Linked DNA regions of Arabidopsis thaliana. The protein of the gene in region 1 interacts with the protein of each later gene in a pairwise test. Each region holds a gene or a part of one and is shown on either strand. Other genes may lie near its edges.

Region 1 (4,470 bases):
ATGGTGATAGAGACAACCGAGATTAGTTGTTTTGAATTCGCGATGTTTTATTATTTTATTTTCGTCATTACTCCTACTATTTTAGTATATGTTACTATTTTAGACTTTTAGTTAGATTTAAATATTTAATTACTTTATTATTATTGTTAGACCATGGTATAATTATTTTTATATTTATATTTATACAAACTAATAATTTCTATAATATTAAATAAATTTTAATCAATTGATCCGTGGTCGAATCCGGTTGATCCATTGACCCCGTGACCTAAAAAGTAGTCTAGTTCACCATCCAGGTCGGGTTTAAAAAGATTGCATTTAAGTCTAATTATTGGGCATAGAGAATGCTGAAATAGTAAGTACATAAAGCTGGAGAATCAAACCTGATTACACTGTACAAAGCCATATAGGAAACAAGTGTCAATTCGTTCTTCTTTGATGTCCATATCATATGGACCATACGAGTCATCATCCTCCAAAGATCTTAATCTTGATTTTATATAAAAAGTTATGGGTCTTTCTTTATAGTGGTGCAGAGTTAAGGCTTTGAACATTAGAAACAACAAACTTGGAGGTACCCAAATATCTCTGATTCATATCAAATCAGTTACCAAATCACTCAGGCCGTACCAAGCAAGATATAATGCATCTGCAAGCAGATCCGAAACTGGAATGTGTCTTATGAAAACACCAAAAGTATTAAGGAAGAATTGCAAAATATACATACAAAAATTATACTATAAAAATCTTATGCAAGTGAGACTTATGCCTTATTTCATCTAAAGAAGCACGAATGTCTAATCATCAAGATTACACACTGATTTCTCGATAACTATATACAATCTTCCGGTCCCTTTCATTTTCCTCCAAAGCCAAAGCAGCAACACTGTCAAATTGCACAAGACAAACCAATGTTCAACACACACTCACTATTTGAATACGTATTCACTAATGATTATACTTGAAAATGAGTTTTAAAGAATGTCTTACTGAGGAAGTGTTGTTCGGGTTACGGGAGCTTTGATGAGTCGGCGTTCTTGAAGATCCACTCACATTTGCTCCAGAACTTCTCTCTTCACGGACTTTATTGAAGATATGCGTGTATCCGTCAGCTGATGACGGGTTGTTCTCGTCCCAGTCACCGAATTTAGGCACCACTGTGACTTTTTCAGGCTATATATAAACAGATGACAACACATAAGCAACAAACAGAGATATTCTCACTTTAGAGGTTAAAAGTGAGATTCTTACACTTTCATCAGCTCTAAGGTTGGTAGGTTTAGGCCTAGATTTTCCAGTACCATCATAAGAATTCTTATGCAAAGGTGACTTGTTGTCATAACTATTGTTCTGAGAAGCTCTTCCTTGTCTTTTGTTAGCAGCTTCATTTGATGAACCACCAGCATCACCAAACTGTTTCAACTCGCTCTCTTCTCGGCTTCTCATATGCTCACGTGATCTTCTAACCGTGTCAACTTGCTCAGGTTTGGTTCTGGAAGAAGGAGGATGAGGAGGAGCTTGTGATTGAGAGTCAGAGTTATACTCCGGGTCATTCGGGTTCATGATCTTGCTACCGGGTGCTCGAGTCTTACGAGCTTTGTCAAAGTAAGCTGTGTAAGGAACATTCTCCTCAGCTTCCCAGTTTCCAAATTTTGGTACATTCGAACGCTGTTGCAACAAACAATTCAACAACAATGTCCTTCCACAAAACATTCAATAACATAACATCCTAAAGAACAATCATCACAGAAACAAGATAGCAAATTCACTTAAGAATCCAAAACAGAACAAATACAAATTGGGTTTATCGATTTCGACCAAGTACAATGATAAAGTTGAAATCTTTGCTAAGCAAAAATAGAAACTTTACCATAAAAATAGTAACTTTCATAAAACCCTTTTCTTATCTAAAGCAAATCAGAATCATAAAGTTGAATACTAATAGACATCGCAATCCATAGAAATGTTATCTCAATAGGAAGAACCATAAATGCAAATAGATTAAGACTCAACTTTCTACAAATCCTCCAAAAAAAGGGTCAGAGATTGACGGAATCGAAACAAAAACTATAATCTGAGAGAAAGCTCTAGACCTAAATAAGAAGAAGAGGAGAAGGAAAGAAGGAAAGAAAACACTTACTGCCATGGGAGAGAGGTAGCTAAAGAATTGAAGTCTGAAGCTTTTGTTAGGTTTGAGAGAGAAAGACAGAGAGAGATGTGAGAAGGAGAGGAGACGAAGAAGAAGTTTTATAAAAGCGTTGACTAGTGGTGATGCTATGTATTCTTTGACCCTTCCTCTCCTCTCTCTAATCTTCTCTTCTCTCTTTGTCTCACTCCAAACTCTATTAATTTCATTTCTTAACTCTATTACTAAATTTTCATGTATTGTCAAGAGCACTCAAACGCCGTTACCGTTACCGTCACCGTTAAAGGCGGCTTTATTTTGGTGTCCATGTTACATTGTTTTCCTCTTAAAAGATTGTAATAAATATTTTTGTCCTAAAGAATTGGATATGTGGGTCGGAAGCAACTTTTGGTGGAATCTTCTGCTCTAGTAGATAAGTTTTGTGGATCTAATAATTATATGCTAATAGAATAATTTGATTATTGATAGCAACAATGTTACAATGTTATAGCAGAATTTAGTGAATTATTGATCTTGGATTTTAGCGGATTAATGAGTAGTAATAACTGAAATTTCTTTTGGTGACGATTGGTACCAATTCGTCTATAGATAGGTTACCATTTGAATCAACTACTTGCAATTTTTGTGATACAAATAGTACAATAACTATTTTTACAAATATCGCCATTTAACGCTAGTACGTATACTTTTATTATTTACACTCATAGTTTTTTTTAGAGAAAACTTAAAAGTGTTTTGTGAAGAGTACTACAAAGTGATAGTAAGTAAATAAAAAGTGTTCTACGAGTACAAGGAAAAAAAAAAGGCAGTATGAACAAAATAGTTAGAAAACTAGAAATGAGAAAGTTATCATCAAAGGTGGTTGACCACAACTACCTAATCTCTTTTTGATCTTAGTTGATGTTTAAGGTTTTAGCACACTAATCAAGAAACTAATTAAATGATCAATTGTTTCTTGGTTTTCACATTAAAACATCATTTATAAAACTCAACAAAATTATTCAACCAATAACAAAAGAAAGAATTGAAAATGTTTATGAGAAATTGAGAATATTAACTTCTGAAAAGAAAAAGAAAATAATCATATGGAGACTTTTTGTGTTAGCAAAGTCAAAGCTGCCTCTTTACACTGAAAGACCCTTTTGAGAATTTACGTACCTCTTTCTTCCAAGAACAAATAACATGTCTCGTAGCATCTATTATCGAATCACCAATGACAATAAGATGTTCACTAAAAACCATAATTGGAACATTATTTTAGTAATTTTTTACTAGACAAAGTTGAAAAATGGAAAGTATTCAGCGTTGTTCACATCAATTTATTTGTGGTTGCCGTAGCGATAATTATTCAATGCTCCCGTACTCATACACACGTGAACTATATAGTCCACACGTACAAGTGTTTTCACATGGTTAATGCCTTAATGGGAATATTTTAGAGATTGTTCACGAAAAAATAAGAAAGATCAAATCAAAGAAGACAGATCGTTCAGCTTCATCAGTTTCTCAACGTGAGTGTGTCTTTTTATTTTTTGTAGTCAAGTGATATGGTTAGTTAAGACTAAAGACAACTAAGAGATCGTGTGCATTCTTAATTCTTTTGGTGTTATTTAGTTTTGGAGCGTTACTCTATTTTTGGGACATACAACAATCCACCCCAAATCAAGTTTATTTTATATAAATTGGTCCACGACGGATTTCTTCTATTTGTCTCAATCCATACTCTTACGGACTATAATATATAAAATGGTTCAATCCGCAAACGAATTTGTCCGCCACAACCATACAAACCAGTGTCACAAAGCCACAAAGGTAAGGGTTTCTCAATACATTATTTAAGGGGTTTATCACTCTCTTAGTCTCTTTAATAAGTCTCAATTCTTAAGTCTCTTTCACATTTGTCAATTAACTTGAATTTGCACTTTGGTACTCTGCTTTTCTCAAAGGGACCAAGAACCTCTTGGTATTTTCTTCTCACTAAAATTGAAATTGACCCGGTTTGGTTTTCTTGTTCAACGCGTGGAATGTATTGTTAGAGTTTTTGACTAAAACCTCACTCCAAAATAGGGCCACATGAGTCAGAAATGGATGTATATATACATACTGAAATAAGAATGGATGCTCATAGAGACAGAACTATTCGACTCCGGAACATACATCTCTTATCTCAGTTTTCAAGTTCCTCAACACTTGCAACATGTGATAATGTTCATGGTGACTCAGATCTTCCATGAGAAAAGTTCGAAGCTCCCCATTTACTTCGATCGCGCTGTAGCCTGGTACCTTCTCCATGGCCCCATTTCTCATCAACTTCCTCACTTTGG
Region 2 (7,983 bases), on another chromosome or scaffold:
CAAAGTGCCTTGTCTCTTCAAAGGCAAAGGGCCTTGTTTCTTCAAAGGCAAATTTGCAAAGCTCATATCGAGTAGGAGTTTTAAGAACAATGACTAACAATAACAAAAAGAAAAAAGAGTTTTGGAAGAGTTATGGCAATACACAAGAGTTCTCTTCCCTCTACTGTAATGACTTTTAAAGAGAGATTTGTGAAGACAAAACAAAAGATGAGTCATGATGGGGTTGGTTTTCGGTAAATGTTTGTGTTGTTGTGCAACTCCAACTACACAGTGTAGTGATGTCCTGCTGTATCAATGTCCAATCCCTTTAGCTTTGCGACTGATTCCACATGTCCCTTCAATGTGTGAAGCTCCCTAAGCCTGTCACAACATAATATTAAATCATTCACCAATCAGAACCTCTATCAAATGGCATCTTTCCGTTGAGATTCGTTTTAATCACACTACTTACCTAGCTATCTCGGCCCTTCTCTTGGCTTGCTCTGCGATCTCAGACAGCTCTCTGTAACTTCCTTTCTCTGGGAAGATATTAACATCTTCTTTTGGCTGCAGACCGTGCAATGTCCTTTGAGCTTGTGCCCATTGAGCTTCTCTTTCTCCAATACCGTAATCTTTCTTGGTTGTGAAAGCGGTCTGTTAACATAGAAGAAGATGTGATTAGTATGTTACCATCAGCTTGTAAAAGAGGTCTCTATAGTGGTAGATAGACTTGTATGTACCCTGTTGTCAAACAAGCTGGCCCAAGCCTTTCCACTCAAGATATACCGAATGGCAAACTTCAAAATGTCCTGTGGGAAGTATGTTACGATACTGTAAATCCAAATCACACCTGCCCATCCCCAACCGATACCCTTCACCTTTGCAAATGTCCAGTCGGCATACACTGCGATCAAAGTTGCAACCTGCATTTGGAAGGAGTGAATGAATTCAGTGGGTTTCTTTAACCTAATCGAAGTTCAGAAAATATGTGTGCTTGATGTCCTTACCAGTTGTGCAATGACGAATGCAATCATCAGAAGCGCCCCAGGACGTTCGACAAATGACCAACTCCTTGACCTGGTGACAAAGATTAGAGCTTGACTGATGATACTAACTTGTAGATACACAGCACCCATTAGTTCATCGTTATTGTCCCTGATTGACCTCACACCGAACTTGTCCTGCAAATCGAAGGTGAGACAATTTTTTAAGACTCAGAGCAAAAGGCCTGGCCATATATATCTATATAGTCCCTGAAGCACCTGTACCAAAAAAAAGAGAAAAGAAATGAAAATAAACTGATGATGTACCGAGAAAAAGTCGGTCTTGTGAGCAGCCCAGAAGAAAATAACACTCATAATGGCTTGGTAGCCTCCCAGCACAATTCCAGTGGCGAAAATTTCTTTGAGCTTCCAGCTATCAGGTGTGGGAGATGGCTTGACTCTGTCCTTTGAGATTGTCATGATAGTACCTAAAAGGTAGTAACACATAATACCATAAGATATAGCTGATAACGAGTGAGGACGCTGTCTAGAAAAGTAGGATGTTATTTGCTCACCATCATTAAGGATGGCAATAATCAGAACCATGAACGCTGAGAAGTCAAATTCCCATATCAAAGCAATAAGCATGAAACCAAACTGCAAGAGTTACAACGCAATATGATCAGTATACAAAAAGTAAAATCATGCTAAACAAGTGATAGATTTGTAAAACGGGTTTCTACTTACCACAATACGGATTGTGATTGAGACTGCATAAATCTGTCACAAGCAGGAAACTAAAATTATTAGTTTCCAGCGCAAACGAACACAAGTGGTGGGCATAATATATTAGAGTGAGATTAAGAATACGCACGGTGTAGTTCTTCATTCTCTGGAAGATAGCTCTGCTAGTGAGAACGGCACTGATGATGACACTCAGCCCAGGTTCCGTGAGGACGATATCTGAAGCACCACGAGCAGCATCTGTAGCATCGGCCACAGCAATACCGATATCTGCTTTCTTCAAAGCGGGTGCATCATTAACACCATCACCGGTCATACCAACAATGTGCTTCCTCTCCTGCAGCTTTTTCACAATTTCATATTTGTGCTCTGCAATCAGTAACCATAAGAACCTTGGATCAATATAACAAAACTTTATAATGAACATGTGATGAGGTTTGAAACTGAAAGCAAGGCATAACCTGGAAAGACGCCGGCAAACCCATCAGCCTTCTCGATCAACTCCTCAACAGGGATGGATGCAATGTTCGAGTCCTTGTCGGTACCGAGAAGAGCCGCAGATGGATACATATTGGTTCCCATTCCAAGCCTGCGACCGGTTTCCTTACCAATAGCAAGTTGATCACCTGGCAACGTAGTTAGAGCGCAAGTTAGGGGAAAACATCTAAATAACCATGGATTTCATGGGAAAAAAATGATGAATAAGAATAGTTACCAGTGATCATCTTCACATTAACACCTAGATTCAACGCCCTACGAATGGTTTCGGCACTGTCGTGTCTTGGAGGGTCAAAAAGAGGCAACAAGCCAACAAATTCCCATGGTCCACCTGGGCTTTCTTTTGTTTTCTCGGGTACCACCTAAAAAGGAATATGCAATTAAACAGTTGATTTACAGGCCAAAAAAAAAACCCAAATAAGACCAATGTAAAAATTGCTTGTAAAAAAGTACCTGACGAGCTACTGCCAACGACCTAAGACCGCGCTCAGCGTACTTGTCAATACAAGAGAGTACCTTCTTCCTAAGGTCAGGCCTGGCATTGGCAAGGTCAAGGATCTGTGTGGGAGAATCGAATTAGTACACAGAATAAAGGAAAAACGCAACATCTTTAGGAGAAAGTTGAAGATTCATCACCTGCTCGGGAGCACCTTTGCTGACTCTGTGCCAGTTACCATCAGAGTCGATGTAAGTCAAAGCAGTTCTCTTATCCACAGGGTTGAATGGAAGGAAGTGAACCTCTCTGATTCCAGCTCGGGCCTATGAAAATCCAAGTGAAACATAAGAAATTAAGAACTTGTTTTCTCGACCTTTCACTAAACTAAAGAAGTAATTCAAAATGATTAGAGTTATACCTCTTTCGGATCAGCAAGCATTCCAACCATGGCTGCATCAATAGCGTCCTGGTTCTCCACCCTAGAAGCCATAGCTGCAAATAGTAGAACTTGATCTTTCTCCACACCCTTGCAGAAAACCTCAACCAAGTTTTTATCCACACTCAATTTATTAAGGGTTAGTGTCCCGGTTTTGTCACTGCAAAGGACATCCATTCCCGCCATTTCTTCAATGGCTGTCATACGTTTGGTGATAGCACCTTGCTGAGACAACCTGTGAGACCCGATAGCCATAGTCACAGACAAGACCGTGGGCATAGCAATGGGGATACCACCGATCAAGAGGACCAAGAGATTGTCAATTCCATCTCTGTACTTTCGGTGTTGGATAGGGTACATGACGACTATTTCAATCGCTATACCAATAGCAATAGAACAGATACAGAAGTTTCCAATGGATGTAAGAACTTTCTGGAAGTGCCCAACTTGGTTAGTGCTGTCCACAAGGTGAGCAGCTTTACCAAAGAAGGTGTGAACTCCAGTGGCTATAACAACCGCTTCGATTTCTCCTTGTTTACAAGTTGAACCAGAGAAAACTTCTTGACCAGGGTGCTTGGTCACAGGAAGGGACTCTCCAGTTAGAGCAGACTGATCAACCTTTAAAGGATCTCCTTCAAGAAGACGGGCATCGGCTGGGATAATGTCTCCAAGTTTAATGCTAACAATATCACCTGGGACAAGGATAGCAGCCTCTTGTTCACTCCATTTTCCATCCCTAAGAACCTGAAAACAGAGAAACAGGTTAAGCTCTCTAGAAGTCTCGAAATATCTTGTACAGTAATGTCACAGCATCCACCAACATATTACCTTGGTTTTAGGAGCAAGACCAGCCATGAGAGCAGCTGCAGCATTTCCGGCGTTGTTTTCTTCAATGAAACTGATTGTGGAGTTGATAACAAGCAGACAGATAATACCCACAAAATCTTGCCAATCCGGAGGTCGATTATCACCATTAGCCAAAGCAATGGCCATGAGAGCTGCAGCTTCCATAACCCATGAAAGCGGATTCCACATGAACCCCAGAAACTTCAGAATTTTGCTTTCCTGATATTTTTTTACGAAAGATCAACCTCGTGAGTTAAACAAAACCAAAGCTTTCAATGATGATAAAACAACAATGCTAAGTCAAACTCAAACCTTCTTCTCTTCGAGCTTGTTGGGGCCAAATATCACAATCCTGTCTTCCCCTTCCTGCGTTGTCAATCCTTCCCTTGTACATTTTAGCTGCTGGAAAACTTCCTCAATCGGAATTTTTTCCTGAGAATCAAAGCAAAAGTTTTGATCAGAACCCAAACAATAGTAACTCAAACATCAAACAAGAACAAAAGGGTAAAAAAGACAAAAACTTTTCTAGTTTTGAAATCTTTTTACAAATGTCAGAAACGATCCAACTCGGCGACTCGGAAGATGAAGAGTGGCGTTGACTCAAGTTGTGACAATGAAAGGTGAAAAGAATCTGGCAGTGGAGGATAGAGGGACCACCACCACCACCACCACTACTACTACTACTTCAATGCACGTGTTATGGAACGTGTAACACACGCGCCTGCGGGATTCCCTCCATGAAAGGTGGCTACTTTCCGGCGTGAAAGCCAAAGTCCGGTTAAGGGTATTTCGGTCATAAAACAATTTCACTAAACAAAATCAATTACAATAGAGGAATTCACAAGTTGCTTCTACTGATAGATGTTTTACAAAAGGACAAAGAAGTTCAAAAAAAAAAAAAACGTACTACGGAAAGGTACATCAAAAAAATTCGAACATCAACAACAATTTAAAAAAAAGTTGAAAACTTAAATTTATTAAAAACTCTGGTATTTTTCATGGGTGGAAGATAGAAGAATATTATGAACTGCTTTAACATCAAAAACGTTATCTTTACAAAAAAAAGATGATTTTTTTTAGAGAAAGAAAGTTATATATCACAAGCAAAATCAAACTTTTTGCGATTTTTTTCTCTTTTAATAAATATGTGAAAGAGACTTTTGTTGAGACGTAGCTTAAGCTTAGCTCCACCACTAAAAAGACTTATCTTTTTATTCAGCGTTTCACATGTGTGTAGTTTTTGGGTAGATCTACTTTTTCTGATGAACAGTATCAAAATCTACTTATTTTTGGCTTAATACCTAAAACCTTTAAAAGACATCTGTTATTTTACCCTAATTTTAGACCAAAATTAATAAAGTTGGAATCTTGATTTGGGTTTTGTATAGGATCCATGATAGAATCATCGAAAATGAGGCAGATACAATTGGGGGGAAAAATCGGTTTTTTTTTTTTTTGCGGATTTTTCGGGTTCTTGAGGAATTAAGATTCAGTTTTCGATCAAAGAAAAAAGGAGTAGAATCATCGGAAAATGATTTGAAGAAAAAAGGGTAAAAGAATCAAACGTGAAACCATGCAAGGAACAACAACGAAACAGATCTATTTCTCATTCAAGCAAATCATCGAACACTTTGTGGGCATGATGAATAAACACTAAAAATGAAATTAAAAACTCGAAGAATTTAAGCGAGAAGAGAATCGAAATAATACCAGATCAACGGTCTCGTTCTTGATATCTTCGAGACCTGACATCTTCACCCAGAAGAAATCAACAAAACGACGCCCCTCTCTGTCGTTTCACCACTCGATCACACACACACACACGAGAGAGAGAGAGAGAAAGCGAGCTTCTGTTGCAGAGGAGATATACGCCTTCTCTTTTTATAACCACTCAAAACGACGAAACTCTCCACCGTTTCAGACTTTTATTTTTCATTCATTTCGACCGTTGATTATGATTTGGTGATCATCAATGGTTGTTAATTGTTTATGGGTCCTTTCTCACTTGGAAAACGTATATTTGACTTTGGATTTTTGGTTTTATAATTAAAATTTCAGATATCATACTGTTTTTTGAAACATTGTTTACTTAAACTGGTTTTATACTCTGATCCTGTAATGTAAGAGAATCTATATTTATTTTTTTCTATTAAGAGAAACTTTTTACTTTTGAGTATCAAATTTAGTAGAAATCTTAACATTAACACAAATTTAGGATAATATACTAAACTTACATAAGAAATTTAATTCTATGGAGTTAGTATTTTTCTAGATATTTATGCATATTAGAATATGATTTAAAAGACAAAACTGTAATGTATAGATTTTAAAAAATTATACAGTATTGAATTATCATAAGAAAAATATCTAAGATAAATTTAAATTTTTGATTAATATTGTGGTTATGTATGGACAGAAAATATGCACAATCATAAGTTCTTCACTGATATCTTTTTGTGTATATAAAATTGATAATCAATAAGGAAAAATAATATACATAATAATTATATGAACATTGAATAATGCTTAAAATTTGGGTTCTTTTTTGTTCCCAAAGAGTTGTGCAAAGCTAATCTTAATGACTTCTATATAAGTTACTCATTTTGAAGGAAAAAAAAAACAAACAAAATTTAAAATACATACATGGATTTGTGAATATACATATATATATATATATATATATATAGAGAGAGAGAGAGAGAGAGAGAGAGAGTAATATAGATATAACATGTATATTTGATATATGTGTGTAGATACTAACTTTATAATTCCCTATGAGACAAATGCAAAAGTTATTTTCTAGATCAACCTAATTTGCTCATAAGTTTAATTTTCATGTTGATTGTTTAGGTCGGACTTTTAAATCAAAGTGTTTTTAAAACAATTCGTATGTAAACATTTTTCCTTCGGATTATACAACCAATCAAAAAGTTGAATTTTAATTAATTTGTAATTGGAAAATTAAAATCAACCCGTATAATACTAATTTGTTTAATAATATGTTAAATAATAGTGGCGAAGTAGAAACCGAGAAAATAAAAATTTAAATGATAATTACTAATTGAGATAAAAAAAACTAAATATTTTCTAAGTTTAGTGAAACATAAAGTTAAAATGACGATTCTAAAACACTATTTAAGAATACCGATGTTGAAAAGAGATGTTCATAAATTTATTACTGATGTTCAAATAAATTAACTTGACCTGTTTTAAAGGTGGTGAGTACACTAAATTAACTTGATTTGGTCTCTTAAGGAAATTAAAAGACAAGTGTGAAAAAAAAAAAAAAAATTAAAAGACAAGTTTCTTCCAGAAAAAGGGATGTTTTGAAATATAAAATTAGGTTTAGACACAGATTATAAAATTTAGGAGTTTGGGGGAAAATATTCAGATGACGTCGATCTAAAACTATAATAAAACACATATTAAGCTAGTAATGATATAAAACAATTTGTTATATGTGAAATTTTGGTAATCCTAATCTCATATTTATGGCTTTAAAGGATTGTAATGAAGCAATGGCTCTTCCAAGGTGCCTCATGGCAAGGTCAGCAATTGCTGGAACAATTCACATGTTTGTGGATATCATTATTTTTGTAATTTAACCAAAAATTGTTTTCAAGGTTATTTATTTATTTATTCAGCAAATTGGCTGATGAATATTGACTTTTTGATCGTGCTGGGTCCCCCAATAATACACCTCCCCTACGTAATTTTTTTTTCTTGCTTCCATAAATTCGATTGTATTTTATCTAAAAGATCGATTTCATAAGAGAATTTTAAAAACAAAGAAACAAGAAGATGATGGTTTAATTCAACTGGATATATATCGGCACATATGGGCAGGTTTTTCTCATTTATTATTTGATCATTTATGTATCTGATAGACAAAATCAATTTAACTTTCATAGGTAAATACATAAAAGTATTTATTTAAATGTGTATGCTTTTTTTTTTAGGATTTCAAAAAGTTAAATTTATTCGTCATATTCTTTGTTTTTATAACAAGGAAATATAAAACCAACATCCAAATAATCAGATCTATTTTTTGAAACATTTTT
Region 3 (6,077 bases), 6.9 Mb from region 1:
ATTTAAGGATAGAGAAACCCTTAGTAATAAACCCTAGAAGGAGAAGAAGGAATCGCGAGTTTCAAGATGAAGAAGAAAGAGCATCGGGAAAGGCCGATAGTAATACCAAGGGACACCAAAGAGCCTTGAGTTTTTAATTTTTACTATTGACTAGGCCCAAAACGGTCTTTCGTCAAACCGCTTCAAAACGGGTCAGATATTTTCGGATCCGGATCCGATTTTCGGGGAGGTTAGTATGTCTTTTACGTGCGTTAGTTGCACGTGGATAACACGAATGACCAGATATCCATCCATCAATAATAATCTCCGTTTTAACCGCCGCGGATCGTTGATAACAAGATTTTTTTTACTTTCTTCTTTTCAAAATTTCAAAACTTTTCCATCAGTTAAGGAGAAATTTAAAATGGAATGTTTTGGAGTAGTATTAAGTATTTAGTCCAACTGTATCTGGTTATTTCGATTAGTGTAAAGGTCCTAACTTTTGGGATTGTGAATGAGCCACTTTCATTTAGAAGACTAACACGGTAGTGGAATTTCTTGGTTGAAGCCGATACTCAAATAACAATGTCAACAATATTAAGGTCTTAACAAAGTAATGTTTACACAGAATTACAGAACAATCAGCTGACCATATTAAATCTTACTTAAATGAATTTCGAAAAAAAACAGTGGAAACTGCTGTGAAGTGAGCTGTTTAGTCATTAGCACTGACTCATGAGACCAGCAAAAAAATGTTGTCTTTGAGTGAAGAGAAGACCTGATTGTTGACTTTCAAAGACAACACATGACAATCAATCTGTTTGGTAAGCTCATGGCGTTTAGTAGTTATGTGAATATCCATCCCTGATTTTCACAGTACAGTGTGCAGTATCTTGTATGATGAAGCTTGCCTTGGCCGCCTAAGATGAGAGGCTCACATAGAAAGAGCCATTATCAGTTCTGAAATAATGCTTAATCGCAGGAATGTGTTTAACCCTTGACCGGTCCACACTCCCTTCTCCGCGAATGCGTTCTACTAACTGATTAGAAACATGAATCAAATGCAGTTCTTGAAGATTTATAAGATTCTCAATTCCTCTTGGTACGTACTCTAACCCTCTACAAGCCCTGACATAAAGCTTCTGAAGCTCAAACATTGCACCGTCTTCTATAACAACTTCTGTCAGATGTTTCATCTGAACTATCTCTAGAATCTTCAGATTCTGAAATCCTTGTGCAAAACGCAACCTAGGTCCCATGTATGCATTGTAAAATGAAAGCCATACCAATCTAGGAAGCGTTTGGATAGAGAGAATGGCGTTTTCCTGTAGCTGAGATCCACGCAAACCCAAATAGGTAAGGTTTTGAAGAGTGTTGAACCAACTTGGTACTCTCTCCAGTTTCCCAGCAAGAAAGAGCTTCTCAATGCTTGCAGTTGCGATCAGGTCATCTATCTCTAACGGTTCCTCTTCATCAATCGACGTTAAAGATAAGAATCGAATTCTTTTAATCTTATTCAGTGAATCGCACAAGTCTCTTCCATGTTCTCTCCTAACCATGACAAGACTTATTCTTGTGAGCTGAGTCATACACCCGAGATTTTTGATAAGCTCATCTTCTGCGTTGAAGCAGTCCATGACTTGCAAATCCTTCAACTGCCAGATTTTAGGAACAACCCTTGTACCTAAAACATAATTCCAATTGGAATCATGTCCTTCATTGCGGCGAAAAGTAATGAGATATCGCAACTTCTTCAATTTCCACATCCCTAGAGGAAGTTCCTCAATCTTGGAGTGCTTTGTGTTCAACGTCTCCAAATTGACGAGTTTATGGAAGTTTTTTGGCAGTTCTTTCACCTGTGTCTTGGACAAATTCAAGTACTTTAAGTTGAACATAGTTACTAAACAATCTGGTAACTTGCTGATGGAAGAGTCTTCAAGGTCTAAGGCTCTCAGAAGGTTCAGACTTGGAAGTAATTCCATCTTGTGTTTAGCAGAAGAGCAAACCAAAAGAGAGTGAAGGTTTGTTGCACGTATACTATCAGGTGTCATCTCTTTCTGAATGCATAAATGGCGACTACCGTAATTCTCCATTGTTTCTGCAGCATCATCACCATCACTGTCATCATTATATACATCACAGAACCTCTCAAGTTTGGATACAGATAGAGCAATCTCCCATATCACGTCATGCATCTTGAACGCCTTGGGTCGTCCAAAAGGATTCCACAAGATAACTTGAAGCATATTTCTGTAAACAAGTTCATTGAGGTAACTATCAGCCACTTCTTCTGCTTTCACTCCTCTGATCGGTTCCACAAACCTTTGTGCCATCCACATCCTAATGAGCCTCTTTCTTTTCATCCGATAGTTCACAGGGAAAAGAGAACAATATAAGAAACAACGTTTAAGCGGGTATGGCAAATCATTGAAGCTAAGGAACATAATGCTTCGAACAATCTTGAGTTCATGATTGTTGTTCAGTTCCCAGTTTAAAGTACTGTAGACTTTCTTCCATTCTGATTCAAACTTCTTGGTTGACATCATGCTTCCCAAAGAAGCAATAGCTAATGGCAAACCCTGACATCTCTCGACTAATTTTCGTGCTATCGGCTCCAAATTCTGCGTTCTGCATTGCTCAAGACTTGCCGGAAAAGCTTTGTTGGAGAAAAGCACCCAAGCTTCGTCTTCTTTTAAGAGCTCAATCTCGTGCTTTGTGCTCCCAATTCCATATGGGAAAGAAGCCACGTTCATGTCCCGAGTAGTCATCATAACACGACTTCCATAAATACCATCTGGTAAAGCAATACTTATCTCCCTCCATAGACCAGTGGTCCATACATCATCAAGCACAACAATGTACCTCTTCGACTGCAAATACTCCACAAGTTTTTCCACCAACTCTCTGTAGCCTAAGGAGTATAATTCAGCTGGAATCTGTGTATCTGCTTCTTTGTAAAACTCCTTGATCATGGTCCTAAACACATCTTCAATCACATAAGATTTCGAGATTGTAACCCAAGCGTAAGACTCAAAATGCCTCCGCACACTTTGAGACTTGAAGATATTCGCTGAGAGTGTAGTTTTCCCTGAACCGCCCATCCCAACCACCGCGACAACAATCCGCTGAGGTTCGGGACTTAGAAGCCGTCCGATGAGCTTTCCCTTGGGTGCATCAATCCCTACAAGACTATTTTCACTAAAGAAAAGAGATGACTCACTGATGTTGTTCACCCACTTTGCATCGCCATCATCAATAGGCGGTAATAATGCTGCTTGGTAGTTTTCTGAATGATAGTACCTTTTCATGGAATCAGAAATGGATTGAATCATGACATTAACCATTCCTAGCTTTTGAGCTATCGAGTGCCTCGCCCACATATACCTCGGGAAATGAAACGCACGCCAAATTTTGGCGCAGCTACGATAACCGTGGATGTGATAGCCAAACTCGTCGAGAATGTCTTCGATTTGGTAAGCCAAATCTCTCGTGTTTGCCACAAAAGTTTGGAAGAGTTGAGTTGTTGTTGTTGTGGATCCATTTCCACCATGTTTATGAGTATCCTCAAGAAAGGACTTCATGATCAGCAACTCCTTCTTCATTTTATCAATCTCACCATGGACTCCTGACAATAACAAGGTCTCGTTTTCCAGGACACTAAGAATCCGTCCGATCCCAAAATCAACAGTAGCCGAAGCCATCTTCCTCAGAGTCTCGCTTGAACCTTTTTTCCTTCACTGATTTAGTTTCTCTTGGTGAACTTGCTGAATTTGAGCAAAGCCAAGCTTTCGGTTCACACCTTACATGCCTGCCACATAACATTTTGATCAATTATCCTTAAGGACCTCAACAAAGTCAACGTCCTTTACTTGCGTTAAAGTCAACACGGGTTTAAACTGCTTTCACATTTGCAACTTGGAATTCAATTTGACGGATATGGTCGAGTTTGGAAGTTCCAAGAGAGAGACAGAGAAATCTGATGTACTGAACTCGGGTGTTGTTTTCGTCATTCGTTACCTGAAACTGAAAGGGTAAAAGATTATTACTTTCTTCTGAAGGGCGAAGAAGTACACTTACCTCAATGATTTTTGAATGTTCTTAAGATATTTGTTAAGCAAAGCAGAATTGGAATAGAAGAAACGTTAATTAAAGAAATCAAAATCGCTTCAGTATTACTACTAGTTCATGAAGCACATATATCAGAAAGTTTAACCGACCGACTCATAAACGCCAAATACAAAAAAAAAAAAAAAAAAAAACGTTGTGGTTTCCAATCACTCATTCTTCAGGCAAAAGTCCAGCCATTGGGATTTTAGCATCAATCTGGAATTCTTCGTCTTCTCCATCTTTGTTCTTCCTATAATCCACTTTGAAATCATAATCTCCGTCCATCAGATCCTCCTCATCAGCTCCTGCTTTCTTTGCTTTCTTCCTCTTCTTCTTCTCTGCTTTCTGTTTCTTTGTATTCAACATGCTTTCCGCTGCGTATAGCTTCACGTTCTGCCTCCCCGTCTCTGATTTCTCCTTCGTCTTTCCTGCCTCTTCCTCCTCCTCCCCTCCCATTGACTCATCATCATCACTCTCATGCTCAGCCTCCTCTTCCGTCTGCGTCTTAGACTCATCCTGTTTTTTTTTTTTGTGATACATCATCATAAACAAAGATTAAATCCAGACCGAGTCATTTACAAGCAAATGGAATCACGAGAGAAGTTACCAACCTCGATCATAGTTTCATCGAAATTGAGAGGACCATTTGAAGGAATAATAACAGGGTTGAATTCGTTAACCGTCTTCAAGCTCCCAATGAAAGAGGATTCACCACTGTAAACCTCATCGATGTTGAAATCCTTGGCCAGCTCAGTCACAATCTTTGACTCTGCATGTCCACCCTGGTCCCTCTTTGGCGGCATTGTATAGTATGGGATTTTACCTGCATAACCATTCATATTAGAGACAATGATGAGTTAAGAAACTGGTTTTCAAAAATGCTTTTACGCTTCAAGTTTACGAGGAACAAAAAAAGATCCGCACCTTCATTCCAGTCATGCAAAACAATTCTGGCAGCAGCATCAATATCCACAAGACCACCCTTTTTAAGTTTACCCCTTACAGTGGCGACTTTGTAAAGGAAATCATCAACTGCCTCGAAGCTCGGGATTTTGTAGAGAGTCACCAGCATATCTTTAGGACAAAGCTTGAGAATTTCCTTCACTATTTTTTTCACAAAGCAGAAGATTTCCAAGTTAGGTCACTCAGATTATAACCTTTAAAAGACAAAGCACAAAAATAAGTGTGATTCTATCTTGAGCTTATATCCAATTACCTGGACTAACTGGGTCATCCAACTTCTCGATTCTTTTACAATTTCGGAGAGCTATGGAAGCATCATTTCCTGATGATTTCAACATCACAACTCCAGGACAATCCAGCAACTTCACGTTTTTGTCCAAGTGAACCTCTTGCAGAGATCTAGTCAGTCCAGGAGTGGCACCAACATTGACAACATGCGCTCTCTTCAGACTGTTAATAAGACTACTCTTGCCGACATTAGGCAGTCCAATAATACCAACTGTGATAGATTTTTTTAACTGCCAAAGAACAACAAAGGAAGATTTAATTGAAACTGAATGATATAACTTGATGCTAAGGTAGGATGATTAAAGTTTAAACTATGGAACCAACCTCATGACTTCTTGAGTAGTTCTTCAACAATTTGATAAGAGTGTCTGCTCCAAGACAATCACTCGTCTGCAACATATTGCTTGGTTTTGATGCCTTAGATGATTTCCAACCCAAGTTTGATCTCTGTTCCTGGGTGCTACACTTGAAGGCAACAGCTGGAAATTCTTCCCTAAGGTACATAAGCCATTTCTCAGCAGCCTCTCGGGGAACAAGATCTGGAGAGAGTGAATCAGTTACAAAAATTAATTACACCACCCAGAGTAAACAAACAACTTATTACGTCCACGAGTAAAGACTGAATATATGAACTTACCAATCTTGTTCAGCAGCAACACAAGATGCTTATTGGGACCGGCTTGCATCACCATCCTCTCCATGTCAGTACAACGAGTGCCAAGAGGATCACGGGCATCAAG
Region 4 (3,304 bases), 1.9 Mb from region 1:
TTTCATGACCCTACCAAAATGATATGTAATAGAACAACTAGCGACTATTCTCAAGGCAAAGTCATACTTAAATTAAATATCTAGCACACTTAATTACTTTATATTCTACAATATGTGGTTGGTTAATTATTGAACTTGAACGTTAAGATATTGTCGTACGGACAAGAAAAATAACAACCCCAAATTTTTTTATTATCGAATATCCAACCTTCTTCTATGAATCATGTCATTTTTGTTGACTTATTTGTCGATCAATTTTATAAAAATATATCAATGGTTTAGGGACGGTTTCAATTCTGTGATAGAGTAGTAATCAAATTTATTTGTTATTGCAATAAATATAGAATTTAGTAATTTTATTTGGAATAATTGCTTAAAAATCATAAACTAATGGTCCTTTTAGATTATTCATTTATGGAGTTTTTATAAGTTTCTTTTCCCCATTTGAACGGTTATATTCACTGTTATATAATTATGTACTTCTTTTTGGTGGTATATATGTTATGTTTCTTTGTTCCTTGATTTGAAACCCAACATATAATTGTTTCTTGTACATATAAAAAATGGATAAAATGATTTTCAAATAGAATTTTGTTGATGGAAACTAATACATAGTTAAAACAAAAAAAATAAGGGATAAATTATGCAATGAAGAAAATGGAACTAAGGATCACAACAAAACTCATGAAATAGTCAATAATCAAAATCAACAAAACCAAGAAATGAAAAACCTGAAAATCAACACCATTAATGAAGTTAACGAATAGCAAAGAATACGAGTAAATTCATCAAAACACTAATCGGAAAAGAGCTTCTTAATGGAAAAGAAGAATCAGATTTCTTCATCTTAATTCCTTTCTTCTGAGCTTTAACTCCATCACCGTTGACTTCAACATCAGCTCCAACTTCAACCCCATACCTCTTAGTTTTCCAAAAAACAATCTTGAATCTAACTTGAGTCTTGAGATCCAACCTGAAAACAGCCGATCCATTAGGCAAAACCGCTCGTAAAACCGTCTGGTTGTTTAGCGGCTTTACTTGACCCCACTTCTTGGCCTTCTTCTTGTGTCCTTGATAGAACTTAGGCACTGTGTAGTTACCAACTAAGACAAGAGCAGATGAATTGATCTTGGTCGTGTTGATGGTGGAAAAATTAAGGTGGACATCGTCGTAGTAGATTCCTTTGTCTTTATTCGGATTGTCACAACGAACCATGAAATTTAGAGTGGTATTGTCTCGTGAATTTGGGTCTTTTCCGAGGGCAGGAATGAAAAAGTTTTGGATTGAGCATTTGGGTTTGTCCGCACGGAGACTAAGCCATAAGAAAAGAGAGGTGAGACCAGCTGTGAAGATGAAGCTTAAGCAGCAAGTACAACAGTTTCGACCACCTTCTGTGTCTTCATTTTGATTATTCATTTTTTTTTTGTTTTCAAGAATTTGGTATTTTTGTCGGAAAGATGAAGAAGATGATGTTATAAGATTTTGGTTTGCTGATTGGTTGATATTTCAAGTTGACTCAAAAGAGACGACTCAGTAGGACACACACGCACACACGCGTTTAGCCAAATACATAACAAAACAAAAACAAATTAATGGACGTAAGAAGATAAATTAAAAAAAAACCTATATAAACTTTGGGTTATCAAAAAGAACCAAAACAAGAATTAACGAGGGATGTCCCATAACAGAAAACTGAATCTTATTCCATTTATTTACATAAAATAAGGAAAAAAACCCTACTGAAACATACAAACTACACAAGAAACTAAGGAAAGAGAAACTCTAATTATGTTTTTGGAATTTCAAAGATCTAAAAATATGGTGAGATAAAGATTAGTTTTTTTCTTATTTTATTTTTTGGTCAGTGGCCTAGTGGCTAGTTTTTCTAGTCTCATACTGACTGTATCAAAATACGAAATTGTATTTATTATATATGGTTTCATATAGCTTGTTGCCATAAAAAACTATGGCCAGGCCCAAACCCTTTTGCTGAACCATACTGTATATAGGACTCGGGTCGAATTGGATGGACTCTCATGCTTAAACCATAATTAGCAACACTAATCAAAATACAAATTTCAAAAGTAATTTTCTTAATATATATATATATATATATATTTTTTTAAATATATATTCAATCCCAAAATGTGCTTAGTTGGCTAAAGGGCCAAGAGAATTACAAGGTACAAAATAAAAGAGACCCAAAACGAAACCTTAGGAAAACAAGACCTTCACACGTTTTCGTTCTCCTAAATAGACTTTTTGTAAGAAGTTTACATCTTACCATCCACATTAATTCTTGATTTCACAACCAATGGCAATGAGCAATCCGCTATATATATATATATATATATATATGTAAACTTTGTTTGGAAAATTCAATCTAGAAATGTCAAGGTAATTCGAACTACTTGATTATCGTATATCTAAAACATTGTTATCGAACATAAACTGAAAAAAGAAACTGAAATAATTGTTTGATAAACAAAAAACTGAAAATCTACTAGATTGATAAAACCTGAAAAAAGAAACTGAAATAATTGTTTGATAAATAAAAAACTGAAAATCTACTAGATTGATAAAACTAAATTCATATTCGCTTTATTTATGAAAATGCAATAACTCTGAACTGAAACAGAGAACTAGTATCCAAATTATTCTGGAATCCGCATGAGTAAATCTAAGACTAGATATTGTTAAACTGCTTTGAATATCTCTTATATTGTTTGATTCATTTTTTAGTTAAACTATTTAGTTTTACCAGGTATAGTTTATATTAGATTTTTAAAAGTGTCAACTATAGTAAAAGTTTAAAATATTATTAACTCTAAGCTTTAATATTTATTTTATATTTTTAACATTATTAATATTAAACATATCAAATTAAATTTCTTTGATTAAAATTATGTGAAACTAAAATTATTTTATAATATACCACATGTGAAATTCTTATATTACTACCAACCAATGTAAATTGTGTCACATGGTTCACTGAATAGATTCGTTAGGAAAATGATCTAGAAAAGATTATTGTTTGATGTAATCGATGTCAACTTTCACAATAAATGAATAAACGAAACAAAATGTTTTAAAATACTACCGCGTCTTTTTAAATTATAAATCTGATGTAGACTGTAGTGCTGTTTCATGCAAAGATATAGATAGTTTTTATGACCCAAACAAAATAATTTTTAACAGACTAAACTGACTCGCAAAGTCGTACTAAAATATTTTGCACAGTTAACAATACAATATTCAATTGGTTAGTATCGATCTTGAAAGTTAAGATAACTACCCCAAATAT

What was found.
Region 2: the proteins of RIN4 (region 1) and HA1 interact in a two-hybrid assay, tested with the Arabidopsis thaliana proteins (one study listed by BioGRID).
Region 3: the proteins of RIN4 (region 1) and RPM1 interact in a two-hybrid assay, tested with the Arabidopsis thaliana proteins (2 studies listed by BioGRID).
Region 4: the proteins of RIN4 (region 1) and NDR1 interact in a two-hybrid assay, tested with the Arabidopsis thaliana proteins (one study listed by BioGRID).

Annotation. Positions count from the first base shown.
Region 1 is NC_003074.8:9,130,134-9,134,603, reverse strand, and holds RIN4 (RPM1 interacting protein 4), read right to left. Parts: upstream 2,467-4,470; 5' UTR 2,147-2,466; coding exon of another isoform or gene 2,141-2,146; 5' UTR 1,714-2,140; coding exon 1,252-1,713; intron 1,174-1,251; coding exon 991-1,173; intron 887-990; coding exon 857-886; 3' UTR 516-856; downstream 1-515. Other genes in the region: AT3G25060 (Tetratricopeptide repeat (TPR)-like superfamily protein), read right to left, coding at 4,283-4,470.
Region 2 is NC_003071.7:8,219,549-8,227,531, reverse strand, and holds the start of HA1 (H[+]-ATPase 1), read right to left. Parts: upstream 6,019-7,983; 5' UTR 5,675-6,018; coding exon 5,633-5,674; intron 5,380-5,632; exon of another isoform or gene 4,355-5,379; coding exon 4,235-4,354; intron 4,142-4,234; coding exon 3,905-4,141; intron 3,821-3,904; coding exon 3,059-3,820; intron 2,964-3,058; coding exon 2,841-2,963; intron 2,763-2,840; coding exon 2,658-2,762; intron 2,567-2,657; coding exon 2,422-2,566; intron 2,333-2,421; coding exon 2,168-2,332; intron 2,076-2,167; coding exon 1,837-2,075; intron 1,743-1,836; coding exon 1,710-1,742; intron 1,620-1,709; coding exon 1,538-1,619; intron 1,451-1,537; coding exon 1,290-1,450; intron 1,161-1,289; coding exon 987-1,160; intron 903-986; coding exon 720-902; intron 634-719; coding exon 452-633; intron 361-451; coding exon 264-360; 3' UTR 1-263. UniProt on the Arabidopsis thaliana protein: The plasma membrane H(+) ATPase of plants and fungi generates a proton gradient that drives the active transport of nutrients by H(+)-symport. The resulting external acidification and/or internal alkinization may mediate growth responses.
Region 3 is NC_003074.8:2,225,345-2,231,421, forward strand, and holds RPM1 (NB-ARC domain-containing disease resistance protein), read right to left. Parts: upstream 4,212-6,077; 5' UTR 3,681-4,211; coding exon 900-3,680; 3' UTR 511-899; downstream 1-510. Other genes in the region: NSN1 (GTP-binding family protein), read right to left, coding at 4,258-4,602, 4,698-4,909, 5,011-5,190, 5,303-5,567, 5,662-5,876, 5,975-6,077.
Region 4 is NC_003074.8:7,192,989-7,196,292, reverse strand, and holds NDR1 (Late embryogenesis abundant (LEA) hydroxyproline-rich glycoprotein family), read right to left. Parts: upstream 1,523-3,304; 5' UTR 1,417-1,522; coding exon 757-1,416; 3' UTR 524-756; downstream 1-523.